Linked DNA regions of Canis lupus familiaris. The protein of the gene in region 3 binds, or shares a complex with, the protein of the main gene of each other region. Links are inferred from orthologs where the notes say so. Each region holds a gene or a part of one and is shown on either strand. Other genes may lie near its edges.

The links.
Region 1: the proteins of GRK1 (region 3) and RCVRN are in contact, whole or in part, in an NMR structure (PDB 2I94), measured with the Bos taurus proteins. The link is inferred for Canis lupus familiaris from reciprocal best matches to the Homo sapiens genes GRK1 and RCVRN. Residues at the interface, in NP_776598.1 of Bos taurus: Phe3, Gly4, Leu6, Glu7, Val9, Val10, Ala11, Asn12, Ser13, Ala14, Phe15, Ile16; in NP_776590.1 of Bos taurus: Lys22, Trp31, Ser34, Phe35, Glu38, Cys39, Phe49, Ile52, Tyr53, Lys55, Phe56, Phe57, Tyr86, Leu90, Thr93, Ser94, Phe188, Glu189.
Region 2: the proteins of GRK1 (region 3) and RHO are in contact, whole or in part, in a cryo-EM structure (PDB 7MT8), measured with the Bos taurus proteins. The link is inferred for Canis lupus familiaris from reciprocal best matches to the Homo sapiens genes GRK1 and RHO. Residues at the interface, in NP_776598.1 of Bos taurus: Leu6, Glu7, Thr8, Val9, Val10, Ser13, Ala14, Ile16, Ala17, Ala18, Arg19, Gly20, Asp23, Ala24, Glu184, Asp185, Trp186, Phe187, Leu188, Asp189, Phe190, Val192, Arg195, Glu200, Gln205, Met206, Lys207, Lys221, Arg222, Thr256; in NP_001014890.1 of Bos taurus: Lys66, Lys67, Arg69, Thr70, Arg135, Val137, Val138, Val139, Lys141, Ser144, Asn145, Phe146, Arg147, Phe148, Glu150, His152, Leu226, Thr229, Val230, Ala233, Gln236, Gln237, Glu239, Thr243, Ala246, Val250, Met257, Ile305, Tyr306, Met309.

What each region holds. Positions count from the first base shown.
Region 1 is NC_049226.1:34,533,730-34,536,160, reverse strand, and holds part of RCVRN (recoverin), read left to right. Parts: intron 1-1,232; coding exon 1,233-1,344; intron 1,345-2,431. UniProt on the Homo sapiens protein: Acts as a calcium sensor and regulates phototransduction of cone and rod photoreceptor cells. Modulates light sensitivity of cone photoreceptor in dark and dim conditions.
Region 2 is NC_049241.1:5,708,886-5,713,285, forward strand, and holds the start of RHO (rhodopsin), read right to left. Parts: upstream 2,821-4,400; coding exon 2,460-2,820; intron 478-2,459; coding exon 309-477; intron 1-308. UniProt on the Homo sapiens protein: Photoreceptor required for image-forming vision at low light intensity. Required for photoreceptor cell viability after birth.
Region 3 is NC_049243.1:61,066,810-61,071,135, reverse strand, and holds the start of GRK1 (rhodopsin kinase GRK1), read right to left. Parts: upstream 2,929-4,326; coding exon 2,230-2,928; intron 675-2,229; coding exon 547-674; intron 1-546. UniProt on the Homo sapiens protein: Retina-specific kinase involved in the signal turnoff via phosphorylation of rhodopsin (RHO), the G protein- coupled receptor that initiates the phototransduction cascade.

The DNA.
Region 1 (2,431 bases), on a different chromosome or scaffold from region 3:
ACTGGGCGAGGCAGGCAGGCACTTTCAGAGTTTAGCTGTGGGGCCGGTACATGGTTCCCCAGGCTCAGGACTGAGATGGAACCCGGCACCCACAGTTGGGTTGCTGGGCACCCCCGGGCTCTGAATGCTGCTGGCCGAGGCTGCTGCCCAGAGCTGCTGAGTTTGCTCCTCTTGCTATAGCATGTTGGTGCTGAAACTTCCCAGACCTGCTCGCCCTCCCTCCAGGCTAATGTCACAGGCAACACTGCCCCTGCCCGAGTGTGTGCAAGGTGCCCCCAACTCCACCCAACACGCTTGCCTGCACCCCTAGTCTGCCCCAACGCTCAGCGCATGGGCTGGAATGGGCTCAGGAGCCACTCAGGTGTCCACTCTGGCCTGGCTGGGCTGGACTTAACGAGCTGATGGGATCCTATAACCTGGAGCTGGCAGGGCACATTGAGACCACCTTGTCCCTCTCTGTTCTCCAGCCCCTTGGATGCTCTCCAAGTGATAGAGTGCAAGGATGAAGGTTCTAGAACCAAACTGCCTGGTTAGAATCTCCGTTTCTTCATCTGTAAAATGGGGCCAATGAAACCCACCTCATAAGGCCATTGTGGAGGTTACGTGTACAAGGGCATGTTACGCGTTCCATGAACATTAGCCGTTGTCACCATAAGCCAACCCAGCTGGGCAACCAAGGTACCACAGGGACCCCAAAGAAGCCATTTGAGGTGGCTGCTGTGGGATTATCAGAAAGCTTTTTGTTTTTTTTTTTTTTTAAGATTTTATTCATTTATTCATGAGACAGAGAGGCAGAGGCAGAAGGAGAAGCAGGCTCCCTGAGGGGAGCCCGATGAGGAATTTGATCTCAGGACCCCGGGATCATGATCTGAGCTGAAGGCAGATGCTTCACTGACTGAGCCACCCAGGCACCCAAGCTTTTTGTTTCTTATCTCATTTTCATTTTTTTTAAATAAAATGAAAGTATTGTTTCTACAGGGTCAGGAAATTCCATAGGTGTAGAGAAGGGGCAAAATAAGTGAAAGCCTTCTTTACCCCTTCACTCCGTTCCCTGTCCCTTCTGAGGATCTAAAAAATACAGATTCCCCAACTCTGCTCCCCTGGGCAGGCTGGGGCCTGGGAATCTGTATTTTCACCTCTGCTTGGGGGGATATCTGGCCCTGGGCATGGGGGTGGGGGAGGGTAACCCCTGCTTCTCCTTCTGATGGGAACTTCCTCTTTATGTGCTGCAGGCTATTTTCAAAATGATCAGTCCTGAGGATGTGAAGCAACTTCCAGAGGATGAGAACACCCCAGAGAAACGAGCAGAGAAGATCTGGGGATTCTTTGGAAAGAAAGATGATGGTGAATTCCTTCCCCCTTAAAAGCGTCTGGTTTTAGAGTCATGGGCTGTTTCCTGGAGGCCCCAGTGAGATTGGTCTTCCTAGGGCCAAGGGGATCCCTCCTCACGGCATGCACTGCAGGGCTATCTGAGTCCCTGGGGGAGAGGGGACCCCTCATCTTGGCATGCACTGCAGGGATCTCTGCATCCCTGGGGGTGCAGGGGGACAGTAAGCAGACCAGCCCAGCTCCACTGTCCCCCTGGAGCAGATGCTGCTGGTGGGGACTGGTGCCACATCCCCCTTGCCCCTTGACTCCATCACCGCCGAGCTCCCTGGGGCAGGGGGAAGGTCTGGATTCTGGAAGGCCAGGGAAGGAAAGGCACCTTAGAGCAGCGTTAGCGCCGGGGGAAGAATGGCTAAGTCAGGACAGCAGCTCCTTAGCCAAGGGCGTACCCACTGCGGGGTTACGGGCTCTGCAAACCACTTTCTGTTTCAGCGGAAGTGCTCACCTAGACGCCTGGGTGTACCTTACTTGGTTCCTAAAATGCTTTCTGCACAGTGAGGACAGGGCAAAGCTTCAGCTCGGCCTGTGTCTGAAGGGGCGTCGAGTCCCAAGTGAGCAGGATCTCAGTTTACCTGCTTTTACGCCGGGGAGTTAATTTGGGTTCCGACAGATGGAATTAGATTTAGATTGGGTTGGAAGCGATTTATTGAGAACTGGCCTTCGAGGGAAAGGAGGGGCTGGAGGAGCCTGGGGAGGCCCAGACTGCAGGGCAGCGGGGCCCCGAGTAGAGAGCCCAGGGCCGCTGAAGACTTGAGGCCGCAGCCCTGCTTTTGAAGGTTTTGGCAAAGCCAGGGGAGCCCCCGGGGGCCCCTTCTTCCACAGGCCGGCCTGCCTCGGTCCCTCCAATGCCCCTGCTCAGTCTTTGGCCACGAGCAGCCCTTGGAGAGGTGGGGTCTCCCTGAAAACAGGGAGGCATTCCAGAACAGGGCAGCTGGTCTGCAGGTGCGTGATGCTCAGGCCAACGCAGGCAGCACTGCAGAGGGGCGGCGTGGGCACGGCTGCAAGCTGGGCGGGGAGCCCCCCGACATGTGGGGACCTGGCAAGT
Region 2 (4,400 bases), on a different chromosome or scaffold from region 3:
TCTGGCCCTGGCTTAGTTGAGGATTAGGGGCACAGCCAAGGTGAAGGGTTGGGGCGTCTTGGATTCTCCTTGACATGGGGGCTCAGGAGATGGGACCAGCCCCCATAGCAACATTAGGGTCTGATTCTCTCTTCCCTTGCCCTAAACTCCTCCCTTGGGAGAGCTGTCAGGGTGGCCGTTTAGAGTAGGGGACATATAAGCTCGATGCCCAGAACCAGACAGCACCAGGTTTGAGTCCTGGGTGAGGGACCCTACAGAGACCTCCCCCCCGGGGACGGGGACCCTTCTCTTTTGCTCAGTGCCATTACCTGGACCAGCCAGCGAGGGGGGGTGCCGCACAGGCCAGCGCCATGACCCAGGTGAAGGCGACGCCCATGATGGCATGGTTCTCCCCAAAACGGAAGTTGCTCATGGGCTTACACACCACCACGTACCGCTCAATGGCCAGGACCACCAAAGACCACAGGGCAATTTCACCTGCAAGGCAGTCAGGGACTGATCAGTCAACACACCACCTACCTGGACCCCACTGCCTAAGGAGGGAGCACTCCTGGGTGGGAGAGGGCGGCCAGGAAGGCAGCCTGGGGCAGGGCTGGGGCCAGGACTTGGGATGGAGATGGCTTGGACTCTGGGAAGAGGGGTGAAGAACCAGTCTGCGAAGGAGAATGTGCGGAGTAGACCGGGGTGACAGGCAGAGTGCCTGTTGGAGTTGGACATCCTCCCTCCCTCTTAAGCAGTGGCCTCTTCCACTTGGGGAATGAAATAACCTGGGTCTATGGGTCCCGCATCTCAGAGCCAGGAAGCTGGGGAATCATTTGCCCAGAGGAAGAAGCAGAAAAGAATGGGGAAATTTGGGGGTGCCTGGGTGGTTCAGCAGTAGAGCATCTGCCTTTGACTCAGGTTGTGATCCTAGGGTCTGGGGATTGAGTCCCACATTGGGCTCCCTGCATGGAGCCTGCTTCTTCCTCTGCCTGTGTCTCTGCCTCTCTCCCTCTGTGTCTCTCATGAATAAATAAATAAAATCTTAAAAAAAAAGAATGGGGGTATTCAAACATTACCCCAAAACTCAATGGGGAGGTTGGCCATAGACTCTATCAACCAAACCAGGATGTTTCTGAGAGACAAAGTGAACGCTAATAATTATTACTCCAAAATAATAATTGTAAACTGGTGCCAACCTTGCATGGAAGTGCCCACCTGTACATGGTACCTTCTCATCCCTGTCTTCCAGCCTTTTTGTGTGGGGAAGTTCTTCCCCTCTGAAGAAACTCCTTCCATAGGAAGGCATTACATTGTGTGGTGATCTGTAGCTTTGAAAGATGCTTTCGAGGGACGCCTGGGTGGCTCAGTGCTTGAGCATCTGCCTTCAGTTCAGGGCGTGATCCCGGGTCCTGGATCGAGTCCCACATCATCTCCCCACAGGGAGCCTGCTTCTCCCTCTACCTCTGCCTCTGCCTCTCTCTGTGTCTCTCATGAATAAATAAATAAAGTCTTTTAAAAAGAAAAAAAAAGATGATTTCGAATAGTTTCTTTGGAAAAGTGATGAGGGTGCTGGAGAGACAATAGATCCTGTTTAGCAGCTGAGGAAAGTGAGGCCAGGAGAAGGGAAGAAACACATTCAGGGATGTGGCAGGGCAGTGACCAGGGCCTGGGTCTTCCGGCTCAGATCCAGGACTGGCCCCCCTTCTCTGGGACACACAGCCTCTCAGGCAAGCAGGAGAGAGCCCGGGGTGGCTGCAGAGCCTAGCATCAGCCAAAGGACTGCTCTGTCGCCTTGTCTTCTCTTTGCTTCACATGTCCAGGGCGCTGTCTCAGCCCCATTCCCAGGGAATCTCCAGCCATCACTGGGTGTTTGTCACCCTCAATGAACACAGATCACCCAGCTTCAGGCCACGAGACAGGGGTGAGACAGGGGTACCACATATAGACAGACCCTTCTCTGCAGGGTCAGATGGATGCCAGTGGGGAGAGACTGAGCACATTGCCCAACACAGGCAGAGTCCAGTGGCTGGAGAACTGATCATCTGTGTGCCATCCTGGGCTGAGAGCCCTGAGCTCAGGGATCCAACCTGTCCACCCCTATCCCCAGTGCCCGGCATGGGTCTGACCAGCACAGGTGCTCCAAGGGAAACAGAACATGGCCCGAGGGGCCAGAGCGATGTGGGGTGGAAACTCCCCACCACAGTGTGGCCCCAGCAAGGCCATTGACTTCTCTCATGCTCAGATTCCTTGGTGTAAAGGAAGAGAGCGACAGTGTCCAATGCCTGCCCTCAATAAACAGCCTAGCTTATCATCACTAACAGTGTGTGTTGATCAAGTAGACACTGCTGGTGAACATAGTGGGGAGCAGCCCTCTTAGACACCATCCCCAAGTACGGGCTGTCTCTCCAGATCCCTCCACTCCTCCTGGCTCCCGTATCCCCCCCGCCCCATCCCACCACTGAGACCCCAGCTCATACCGCCCAGTGTGGCAAAGAAGCCCTCCACATTGCATCCTGTGGGCCCGAAGACAAAGTATCCATGCAGAGAGGTGTAGAGGGTGGTGGTGAAGCCACCGAAGACCATGAAGAGGTCAGCCACAGCCAGGTTGAGCAGGATGTAGTTGAGAGGTGTACGCAGCTTCTTGTGCTGGACTGTGACGTAGAGCGTGAGGAAGTTGATGGGGAAGCCGAGCACGATCAGCAGAAACATGTAGGCAGCCAGCATGGAGAACTGCCATGGCTCAGCCAGGTAGTACTGTGGGTACTCGAAGGGGCTGCGCACCACACCCGTCTTGTTGGAGAAGGGCACGTAGAAGTTCGGGCCCTCCGTCCCGTTCATGGCTGCGGTCCTGGCGGCTGCCCCGTGGGCGGCTCAGTCCTAAGAGTGCTGCTGAGGCCTGAGCTTGGCCACCCAGGGCTCCGGCAGGACGACTTCAGGCTCTGACCCCCCCCCCAGGCCGTTATAAAGTGACCTCCCCTCCCTAAGCTCCTGGCTGAATCAGCACCTGGGAGATTGGGGGCGTTATTAATCATAATAATCCCCACTGCCGCAACTAGGGGCCTAATTGGCTTCCAAGAGTGGCCAAGGTGACTCTAGACAGAAGCCTGGGGCCAGAGAGGGGAGGTGCTGGGGACCCTGGGAAAGGGCAGAAGGCCCGCCCCCAACTCTTCTGGTCCCCAGGAATCTCTGCCCAGATCAGTCTGGTGGCCTTGGCCTGGCATTGGGACCTCTGGCTCCATGCCATGTCTCCCTCACTCATGTGAGCTGACTTTGTCTCCCCACTGGACAACGAGCTCCCAAAGGGTAGAGGCTCTGGTTATTCTCAGTCTCCTGACTCCCCACGCAGCCCTTTACCAATTTCTTCCCCACAAGTCACCTCCTGGCTCATCCAGTTGCCAGGCTCTGAGCCCAGCCCACCTCACCAGATTATGAGCTCTGTGAGGGCAGGGGCCTCATCCTGCCAGCTGTAGCACTCTTCATGCCAGACACACAGCCCGGCATAGCCCAGGAGCTCACTAGGTATTTGAGTTGGAATCCACTCGCTCTCTCATTCATGAAACATTTATGTACAGACCATTGAGGATACAAAGATCCAGAAAGGAGGAGGTTATGGACTGAGAAAGACTCTGATGTGGGAAGAGCAGATCCAAGTCCAGGGAGGGGCTTCCATGAAGCTAAGGCAGGGGAGACTGTCTATGAAAGGGAGGTGTCTGGGGAGGTGGGGTTTGAGGAAGAGGAGTATATTGCTAGGTTGCCAAGTGGGAAAGACGGGAGACTGAAGACAAGAGCTGGTAGGGGCCTGAGGCAGGGGCCTGTTTGGGGGTGAGGCTGCACATGGGCTCTGGGGCCAGCTCTGATGGATCTTGATGCCAGGCTGAGGAGCCTGGTTTTATCTAAAGGGCAGTGGGCAGTGTCTTGGGCAGATCTCAGGGGCAGATTGGAGGAAATGAGGATAGAAAAGGAGACCAGGGCTTGCTGTGCTGGGCACCAGATTACTGCCGTGAGCAAGACAGGCTTGGTTGTGGCCTCCTGGGACTCCAATGTGAAGGCAAAGCCCAGCCTGGAAACAGAATTGGCTGGACACTGCAGCATGCAGGGCACATCTAGGGACGTCTGGTCAGACTGGGCTGGGTCAGTGGGCCTTGGAAGCTATGTGGCAGGTAACCCCATGAAAGGGGGTTCTGGGGGCAAATGGAGGCTCAGCATGTACAGGCTCCCCCCATCAGTGAAAGGAGCACCATGATGCTTCTGAGGAATGAAGTGGAGCAGACAGGAGTGCCCAGCACAAGGATGCTTTAGGACCACCCTCCAGTACATGTGTGTATGGAGCACCGACAAGATGCTCGGTTCTGACAAATGCAGTGCAGAAGGAGGATGCCTGCAGGAAGTATCGTTCTGTGGGGTTAGCAGGACTTACA
Region 3 (4,326 bases):
CAGACTCTCCATAATGCCCTGAGAACACTAGTTTTACAGACCAGTGCATGGAGGCAAGAGCAGTCAGACTGCCTGGGCTGCACCTGGGTCTTTCCCTACTGAAAGCCAGTGGCCTGACATCCTCCGGAGTCCAGGGCTGGGTCCTCAGACGCCCGGCAAATCCAGACACCATCCACTGGCAGCAAAGCGCCGGTCCCAGAACTTGGCCACGTCACGTTTCCAGCTCTGCCGTCATCCCCAAGAGCAGGTCACAAAGCAGTGTCCTCAACCCCTGCCCTCCACCCAAGCCTTCTTTCATCTGTCTGCCCAGTTAGCACTTGCCCTGTGGCACCCTGTGCTCCTGCTGCCTCCACCCCTATGTGGTCACATGAACCTCAGGTCCACCAGGAGCTAGAGAGCCACGGGCCATCTGCCCGTGGTCCCACATTTCACATAGGACTGCAGAGTATCAGCCACTGGGGGACGGGAGGAGCATGTTGATGGGGGCCCAGGGCTTTACCTCAGGTCACCATATTCTCTACACGTGTGGGCAGCCCCCCCATTTACCTTATGTCGCCTCCATTCATGATGGTCATCACCAGACAGAGGTCAGTCTTGGTTTCAAATGCATAGGCCAGAGAGACTATAAACCTGCTGTGTACCTTTGCTAGAATCTTCTTCTCCACCATAGCACCCTGAAAAGCAAGATGTCGAAATATTATCAGGTTTAAGCAGGATGTCACCAAAAAGACCAAGTCCCACATGCCAGAAAATAGATGCAAACACACTTGAAGGAGCTTGCACCACACAATTGCAAACAACCTACAGACATCTCACTCATCCCCCAACCAGCCGTGCAAATGTGTGGGTGTACAGAGGACTCGCCAGCAAGGGGCAGGAGTCAGACCACCAGCCTTAAAAACACCGGAGGACCCAGCACAGGCAATGGCAGCCTGTGTGGTGCTGACCTTCCTTCCGGGCCTTCGGTACACCCGGCCAGCTTGCCCACTGCAACCCCAGGCCCCAACCTCCTCTCCAGGCCCTGGGCAGCGGCCAGCCAGGGACCCAGCAGCATCTCTTCATCTTCCAACTGTATTTTAAAACCTCACGATGTCCATTTAACATGTTTTTTAAAATTATGTTTGGTTAAGGAGGGTAGAATTCCTTTTGGAAGGAGGGATCCTGGTGTTCTGGGAGCCCTCTGCATCCACACTACGGAGCAGATGTCAGGTTGCTCTTGCTGAGTATTAGGCTCAGTGAGGACCCCGACCTCGGACAGAAGATGCTGGGTTCAGACCACACGTGGACAGTTGGAAGGGATGCCTGCTTGTCCCGTAGCCCCAAAGGGACAGCACTACTGAGAAGCCCTGGGGTGGGCACCCTGGGTGGCTGCTGTTAACCCCAAAAGTTGCATTTGTGCTCCATTGGCAGGAAAGACAAGGGACCACATGGGATGAGACAAGCTCCTACAACACAGCAGCATCCACTGTCCTGCCTCAACGGAGCCTGACCCCATGCAGAGCAGACCCCATGCAGCAACCCCATGTGCTTGGTTCACTCCGGCCCGGAGAAAGCATGGCGGATGCTACCAGGCCTGGCTGGACTCCCAGCGGCTGGACTCCCAGCGTGCTCTCCGTCACAGACAAGCCAGGGCCAAGAGAGCTCCAGGAAGCCAACAGCCTCCCCCAACACTTGTTCCCAAATTTCATGATGGTGGTAAAAACACAAGACGGCTGGCAGGAGGGGCACCTAGGATGGTGCAGTCAGTTGGGTGTCCAACTCTTGGTTTCAGTTCAGGTCATGATCTCAGGGTCAGGGTCATGGGACTGAGTCCTGCGTTGGGCTCTGCACTCAGCTCAGAGTCTGCTTAAGACTCTCTTTCCCTCTGCCTTTACCCCACCTTCCCCACTCGTGCACACGTGTTCTCTAAAATAAATCTTAAAAAAAAAAAAAAAAGATGACAGCTGGCAGGATATGCAATACCGCCCACACTAACAAACACCTCTAAGGCCGCCTCTGATGAGGGGTCAGGGCAAACCCTGTGGTGTGCAGAGTGCTGGGCCAGGGTGGCAGAGCTGAGGACACCCCCTCTATGCCCCGGGGGCCAGGCCCTTGGCTCAGGATCAGGAGGCTGCCCAGTAGGAGGGGCCCGGTGTCCCAAGGTCAGAGGAGCCAGCCCACAAAGGGCCCCGCGCAGGACCGGACACAGCCCGATGGCCCTCCCACCACCGTGAACAGTCAGCTGCCCACCTGGTACCCCTTCCTTTTCTTGAGTCTCTTCTTGTTGAGCTTCTTACACGCATACAACTTGCCAGTCGCCTTCATCTGGCAGGCAGACACCTCCCCGAAACCACCTTTCCCCAGGACCCTGAAGTCCAGGAACCAGTCCTCCCCCGTAGGCTGGGCCTCCAGCCACTTCCACTGCAGGAACCTCTGGAAGTACAGGCTGCCCAGGTACTCCTGGAAGGGCGCCTGGCTCAGGTGCTCCAGGGTAGCCTGCAGCAGGGGCTGGAACAGCCCATCCTCACTTGCCGTGGGCCCTTCCCGGAACTTGGCCACTACCCCCTCATCCAGGAAGCTGCAGAAGAGCTTGGCCTGGGGGTCCAGGTACTCAGCCAGGATGGCCCGGGCCTTCTGTGGCCGGAGGTCGTCATCTGCAGTGTCATAGTCCTCGATGTCCTTCCAGAGCTCCAGAGCTGGCACATGCCTCTCATCAGCCCCCAGGAACTGCTGGAAAAGCCGCTTGCCGATGGGCTGCTCTGAGCACACACTTGGGAACGCCAGGTCCAGGCTCTCCCGGAGGCCCTCACACTTGGACAGTGGAGGCAACTTGAGCTTAGCCAGGTACTTCCTGTCCCGAGAAGATGGGCCACTGCTCCCATCGAAGCTGCCCCGGGCGGCAATGAAGGCTGAGTTGGCCACCACCGTCTCCAGGGAACCGAAATCCATCCCGGTGCTGGCCTCCTGCCGAGTTAGGCTCGAGAGGCCTGACCCACTGTCCGGGGCCTGTGCCCCCTGCCCTCCCCAGACTGCAGGCGTCCCAATAGGTGAAGAGTGACTGGGGGCCTCGCCGGGAGCCCAGGGAACCCAGCTGACACAGCTCCAGCCAAATCCCAGCCCGGGGTCACAGAGCAGGTGCCAGAAAAAGACAATCCTCTAAGCTGCTTCCAGGCGGATTAGATGCCCATCCTCCCCATTGCTTCCTCTGAGGACAAAGTGCAGACCCCGATGGACCTCCCTGAAGCTGCCCTGTTGGGTCCTCAGCCCTGGCAGGTGGCGCACCTGCTTGTTCCCCTGCGTGAGCCGGAGGCCAAACAGAAAGCAGAGGGGCCCGGGAGAAACCCCAACTTAATATAAGATGGCTGTGGCTTTCCTACTGTATTTCATTTTTGTCTTAAGAAGATAGAAAGCAGGAGGAAAAACAGCTGATATCAGGAATTCAGAGAGAAAAAAAACCCACAGTGAACCGCTCACTGGGTATTCAAGAGTGAAACCACTGGCAGGGGGACTGGTTAGTATGTGGGGACCTGGCCTGACACTGACAGGAGCCTGCCCTCGGGTCACCTGCCAGCTCTGAGGACCTAAGGTAACCTCAGCACCTGCCGGGGGATCAGCTCCGCATCAGCTCCCTCCCCTCTCCTGAGCTGTGCCAGCAAAACATAAACACCCAAGAGAAGCTTCAGGTGAAGTTAGAAGCAGGAGACCCCCAGCCACATCCAGGGCTGAGGCCTCAAACAGAGAAACAGGAATGAGAGGGCAATGATGAGGCCAGGGACACACCTGGAGGCATATCTGGGGGACACACCTGGGGGACACACCTGGGGCACATCCCTGAGGGACATACCTGGGGGCACACACCTAGAGGGACACACCTGGGGCACACACCTGGGGGACAAAACTGGGCACACCTCTGAGGGACACAGCTGGGGGACACAACTGGGGCACATCCCTGAGGGACATTCCTGGGGGCACATACCTAGGGGGACACGCCTGGGGGTACATCCCTGAGGGACATACCTGGGGGCACACACCTAGGGGGATACACCTGGGGGCACGCCCCTGGGGGACACCCCTGGGGATGCCAGGACCAACAGAAATGTCAGACTCATAGGGGCAAGGTGTTGTCCGTCTAGTATGCAGCAGGTACTCTGTAAATGTGCAGGGAAGGAAGTGATGGGGGTCGGTTAGAGTTTGAAGAGGGGAGGAAGTGAGGTTATGGAAACAAGAATGTAGAAGCCAGAGGAGACCAGCAGGACCAGCCCACCCCGTGTCCCTCCTCTGGGAGGCATGGAGGTTCCATGAGTGGGTGAGGGCAGAAGGCAGAGGAGGCCAAGGAACAACCTGCAT